2 linked regions of the Saccharomyces cerevisiae S288C genome follow. The gene in region 2 interacts genetically with the main gene of each other region. Each region holds a gene or a part of one and is shown on either strand. Other genes may lie near its edges.

Region 1 (2,848 bases), on a different chromosome or scaffold from region 2:
AGGATTGGCTAAATGCGAAGAAGAAGTGGACGCTATTGAACGTGAGGTAGAATTATACAGATTGAACAAAATGAAGCCTGTTTATGAAAAGAGGGACGCGTATATTGACGAAATTGCAGAGTTCTGGAAAATTGTGCTTTCACAACACGTTAGTTTTGCGAATTACATAAGGGCTTCAGATTTTAAATACATTGACACTATAGATAAGATCAAAGTAGAATGGCTGGCATTGGAGTCTGAAATGTACGACACTAGAGATTTTAGTATAACATTCCATTTCCATGGAATTGAGGGAGACTTCAAAGAGCAGCAAGTCACCAAGGTGTTCCAAATCAAAAAAGGCAAAGATGACCAAGAAGACGGGATACTGACTAGTGAGCCCGTTCCAATTGAGTGGCCCCAGAGTTACGACTCGATAAACCCGGACTTGATCAAAGACAAACGCAGTCCAGAGGGTAAAAAAAAGTACAGACAGGGAATGAAAACCATATTTGGCTGGTTCAGATGGACCGGCCTAAAACCCGGGAAGGAGTTCCCGCACGGCGACTCATTGGCGTCATTGTTCAGTGAAGAGATCTACCCTTTTTGTGTGAAGTACTATGCTGAGGCCCAGAGGGACTTGGAAGACGAAGAAGGAGAATCCGGGTTAAGCGCAGATGGCGACAGCGAGGATGACGATGGCAGTCTCGGTGAGGTGGACTTGCCACTATCCGACGAGGAACCAAGCTCTAAGAAAAGGAAAGTTTAGTAGTCTAGGTCCGGAGCGGGCTTGGACAACGGTTTCCCTCGTTGCGACATTGCTCTTTTTTTTGTTGAGTCTGGAGTTCTTCTTTGTTGTTTAGTTACCTTAAACTTACTCATTGGATCATCTTTAAGCAATTTTGACTTCTTCTTCTGCGAACTTATGGATGTTGCGGCACCAGAAGCGGAAATAGTAGTGGCCGCCCTTACAGGCGGTGTTGCAGGTTGGTTTAGTATAGATGAATCTAGTTTTTTCTTACCTAATAAATAGTCTTCCTTTTCGTCACTCAGTTTTGCATCCTGATACATCCATTCCAAGCCCGACTTCTTCAAAGCCAAGTCATTCTTGAGAGTCTCCGGCTTATCCTTGCTCGATTCGTTCAGCAGTTCATTTAGTTCTCGTTCTTTTTCAATTTCTTTCAATCGCGTGTTAAGCTTCTGCTGTTCGGTAATTAGATCCTGTTCGGTCTCCCATACTTTTTTTCTATTTTTCATAAGCTTGGGATTCCATGATTTCAACAGATTCAAATCGCCCGACCCCATGATAATGTACTCTCGATTTGGCCTTTCTTCCCTGTACTCAAAACTGAACGCTCATCTCTTTTGAGAAGCTGCATGCTACGTACCACTTGTTCTTATATCTCTGTATGTAAGCCCGCGGCGGGAGAAGAAGAAAAAGAAATAAAAAAAGATGAGATGTTATATTATATATTATAGTGTAAATATGCACTTGGACTTAAATAACTAAACAGTTACGTTTTATATAGGATAACAACACTAAGAAAGAAAGCGAGCAGCGAGTAAGCGACTCGGCGTAAGCCTTGAACTTAAAACCCATGAATTTTAATGTTCTTCTTTTGCAATCCCAGTTGGGAGATCATAAATTCGCAAACCTTTGCTCTTTGGTCACCCTGCAACTGAATAATCTCCCCCATTTCTGGATCCTTGACAATGTTACCATTACATGCAAAGTCCTTCTTTAGGACCTTAAGAATTCTCTTTAAATCATATTCCTCTGGGACACCTTGCACCGTAGTTAAAGTTTTTCTACCATTTCTCTGTTGGATACGAATATGAATATAGTTTGAAGTGGCGGTTTCGTCGTCTCCTGTGTCGGCGAAAGGATCAAATGATTTCAGATTCTCAATGGACATACGATTTGCTTCAGCTATATTAATATATTCCTTGTCTTTTTTGAAAAAGAATAGAAAGGAGAAAACCCCCAGCACGAAACGAAAACAACAAGTAGCTCTTCTCTTGTTTTGTCCTTTTGCAGTTTGCTTTTATCCCTGTGATGAAAAAAAAAAAAACTAAAATTTTTTGCCGGCGCATCGAAAAAATCTGTTACCCGACCCGTTATTGGTGATAATACCCATTTTTAACGCGATCACATATCATAAACTGCAGTGAGAGGGTCGTTTACAGTAGTTATAGTACCGAACCAAAAGACTGGAACCATGTACACATGATCCTTTTACGGGTACTTTTTATTGTAATGTAGGTCGGTGCGTTTTGTACGACGACGCAGCGGCTGCTCGTATAAAATGACGCGGTCGCGCGCCGTTTGACGTCCTATAGGAGAATGCCAAAAAGGGTGTTTTGCTGGAAAATATACATATATAAATATATATAAAGAATAGTGAAACAATAGAAATATTAGTAATACAGCCATAGCAGTAGTAGTGATAGTACTAGCAGCTAGAACAGGATGTCCAGAATAGATTCAGATCTGCAGAAAGCGCTTAAAAAGGCGTGTTCCGTTGAGGAGACCGCACCTAAGAGAAAGCACGTACGCGCATGCATAGTGTACACATGGGACCATCAGTCTTCCAAAGCTGTTTTTACAACCCTTAAGACGCTGCCTCTGGCCAATGACGAAGTGCAACTGTTCAAGATGCTTATTGTACTGCATAAGATCATACAAGAGGGACATCCGTCAGCGCTAGCTGAGGCCATCCGGGATAGGGACTGGATCAGATCTCTGGGTAGGGTACATTCTGGCGGTTCGTCGTACAGCAAACTGATTCGGGAGTATGTGCGGTACCTGGTTTTGAAGCTGGACTTTCATGCGCACCATAGAGGGTTTAACAACGGGACGTTTGAGTAC
Region 2 (3,600 bases):
TAAATTAAGAACGTAAGACAAGGCACCAAATATTTGAACAATCTTTAGTGGAGAGGGTTTCATCTGCTCTTCGAATGATGGAGGATATAAATGTCTCAAAATTTCTTTATCATAAAAGAGTGAAACACTAGAATTGTTATCATCATTTGTTGATGCCCTATCATCTGAATCATTCCCATCTTGTTGACCCTCCTCTTCTTCATGATTTTCTTGACCCTGGCTTTTTCGATGAAGTTCTTTCTTTTGTTGTTCCTTTAATTGTTTTCTGTTCTTTTCCTTCAATAAAAGCTTGGCCTGCTTTCTCTTTTTAAAAAAGTTCCAGTCTCTTTTGTATAAAGTTTGTTTAACGTCCTGGATTGTTGTGTATGCTAGTAAAGTTGAATCTATCAAAGAAATCAACCTGCAATGAATGGAAGATGTCAGTTCTATGATAATAGAGTGGATGGTGTTAATCAGCTCTTGTAACACGCTTGGATGCCTCTTGAAAAATGAATCATCTCTACAGAGGTAGTAATAGAGAAAAGATAAACAACTTAACCAATACGATTGCAATACAATGTCACCTGCTTGCAAAGAAGCTTCTGTGGAGACCAATCCTGCAGCTCCGTTGGATGAAACACTGGTCAGAATTTTTGTTAGAGATAAGTTAATTAACGATTCTACTAGTGGCTTGGACTTTATCTTATGATCAGCATATCTAATACATTGGTATATTAAACCAGCTGGATAGGTGGTCATGTGAGGTTCCTTTTGTGGTAGCGATATCAATAGATTCAGGATTTGTGGTATATCAAAGTCGGAAAATTCCAAGTATTGGTCCGGAGATAGTTTATCATAATCAAATGTACCGTGGTAGTCTTCTGTATATGTGGGATCTATTAGGGTTGCAGCTCCCTGAGAATGATTCATGTTCTTTTCATCAGAATCCAGAAACATGTTGTCATTTGCACCAGGGGACAGGGTCAAACCGGCGACTTGTAAGTCAATATTATCAAAAGTTTCTTTCGTGGTAGAGTCTTCATTACTCATTAGAAGAGAGGTGTCTTTCGGTTGGGAAATTTGAGGTATTTCATGTTTTACTTCGGTACGGTATCGAAACATATTGTTTTGTTCCAAAAATTCCGAAAGTGGTGAATATGGAGGAACCATATCCCAAGCGGTTAATCCAGCCTTATTCGTCATGTTGAAGTTTATCTCGTCGAATGCGTTGAACAGCTCCAAGCAACAGTTCCTTCTCTGCAGACTGAAACTCCACATCAAAGGTGTGTAACCTACAATGTCGTCGACAAGATTCAAATCTAATTTTGCACCAGAAGGATTATCATGTAGTAACTCAATGTAGTCTGCACGATCAAATACAATGATATAATGAATCAAGGCAACGCCTGTGACGGATTTATCATTAACGTTTTTGACTTCCCTTAATAACTCCTTGAATGTAGTAAATTCTTCTTCACGGTCTTCGTCGCAGATCAATTTGACTAGTTGTACCCAGGAATCGCATTCTGGTCTATCTTCTTGGTCAAGTTTAAACAAAGTTGATTTTACCAGCGCGAGTTTCTCCTGAGCGTGAGAGGAGCCTACTGGTTTGTCCACCGTTCTGTCCTCTATTCTAGCATCATCCCAAACACTGTTCATTGTTCACGAATGCCTTGTGAGTTCTGTAGACCGGCAATTGCGGCTCTCCTATACTTCAGTCACTACCCATATTGTTATAGTATGATGGTCTTTTCGTTCATCTCAATATCGAAAAATCACCGCTAACGATAAAGACATCAACAAAGTGAAAAAAAATAGTGGTAAAACAAGATAATGAAAAGTGGTTGAACAGCAAGGATGCAGAAGAGAAGGGAAAGAAAACACAGCATCGAGTCTAACTAAAGGATGGTTTTGGCTGATTTGGGGAAGCGGATTAATTCTGCTGTGAATAACGCGATTTCCAATACACAGGATGACTTTACTACATCCGTAGATGTAATGTTAAAGGGCATCGTGACTGCGTTGTTAGAATCGGATGTGAATATTGCCCTGGTTTCTAAGTTACGAAATAATATAAGGTCACAGCTGCTGAGTGAGAACCGTAGTGAGAAGTCCACAACAAACGCACAAACTAAGAAGCTTATTCAGAAAACGGTGTTTGATGAACTGTGTAAGTTGGTCACCTGCGAAGGTAGTGAAGAGAAGGCCTTTGTGCCCAAGAAGAGAAAGACAAACATCATCATGTTTGTTGGGCTGCAAGGTTCAGGTAAAACTACTTCCTGTACCAAGTTAGCAGTTTACTACTCGAAGAGAGGTTTCAAAGTGGGTTTGGTATGTGCGGATACTTTCCGTGCTGGTGCATTTGACCAATTGAAACAAAACGCTATAAGAGCAAGAATTCCATTTTATGGGTCATATACGGAGACTGACCCTGCCAAAGTTGCAGAAGAAGGTATTAACAAGTTTAAGAAAGAGAAGTTTGATATCATCATCGTTGATACTTCAGGTAGGCATCATCAAGAAGAAGAGTTGTTCCAAGAAATGATTGAAATATCCAATGTCATCAAGCCTAATCAAACTATCATGGTTTTAGATGCTTCCATTGGTCAAGCTGCAGAGCAACAATCCAAGGCTTTCAAAGAATCGTCCGATTTTGGTGCCATTATATTAACCAAGATGGACGGCCACGCTAGAGGGGGTGGGGCAATTTCGGCCGTTGCAGCCACAAACACTCCGATTATCTTTATTGGTACAGGTGAGCACATTCATGATTTGGAAAAGTTCTCGCCTAAGTCATTCATATCTAAACTGTTGGGTATTGGTGATATAGAGAGTCTCTTTGAGCAATTACAAACCGTTTCCAACAAGGAAGATGCAAAAGCCACAATGGAAAACATCCAAAAGGGTAAGTTCACCTTGCTAGATTTCAAGAAACAGATGCAAACAATAATGAAAATGGGTCCATTATCAAATATAGCGCAGATGATTCCTGGTATGAGTAATATGATGAATCAAGTAGGGGAGGAGGAAACCTCTCAAAAGATGAAGAAAATGGTTTACGTTTTGGATTCTATGACTAAAGAAGAACTAGAATCTGATGGTAGAATGTTCATTGAAGAGCCTACAAGAATGGTTCGTGTAGCTAAAGGTTCAGGTACTTCTGTGTTCGAGGTAGAAATGATATTGATGCAACAGCAGATGATGGCAAGAATGGCACAAACCGCAACCCAGCAACAACCAGGAGCCCCTGGTGCCAATGCTAGGATGCCTGGCATGCCAAACATGCCGGGTATGCCAAACATGCCTGGTATGCCGAATATGCCTGGTATGCCAAAAGTGACTCCACAAATGATGCAGCAGGCACAACAAAAGCTGAAGCAAAATCCAGGTCTAATGCAAAATATGATGAACATGTTTGGTGGCGGAATGGGCGGAGGAATGGGCGGAGGAATGCCTGATATGAACGAAATGATGAAAATGATGCAAGATCCACAAATGCAACAAATGGCAAAACAATTCGGTATGGGCTAAAGGCCACCATTTGAATATACACAGTATATATATATATGTATGTATGCATATTTCAAATAACTTGTTTAGCTTTCATCCTTTCGAATACCT

Evidence for each region. A genetic interaction does not mean that the proteins touch.
Region 1: mutations in YPR089W (region 2) and CWC25 together harm fitness more than expected from each alone (negative genetic interaction), as found in Saccharomyces cerevisiae (2 studies listed by BioGRID).

The regions. Positions count from the first base shown.
Region 1 is NC_001146.8:185,602-188,449, forward strand, and holds CWC25 (U2-type spliceosomal complex subunit CWC25), read right to left. Parts: upstream 1,285-2,848; coding exon 745-1,284; downstream 1-744. Other genes in the region: VPS75 (Vps75p), read left to right, coding at 1-748; SUI1 (translation initiation factor eIF1), read right to left, coding at 1,569-1,895; SLA2 (Sla2p), read left to right, coding at 2,450-2,848. UniProt on the Saccharomyces cerevisiae protein: Involved in pre-mRNA splicing.
Region 2 is NC_001148.4:711,313-714,912, reverse strand, and holds the start of YPR089W (uncharacterized protein), read right to left. Parts: upstream 1,639-3,600; coding exon 1-1,638. Other genes in the region: RNA-binding signal recognition particle subunit SRP54, read left to right, coding at 1,885-3,510.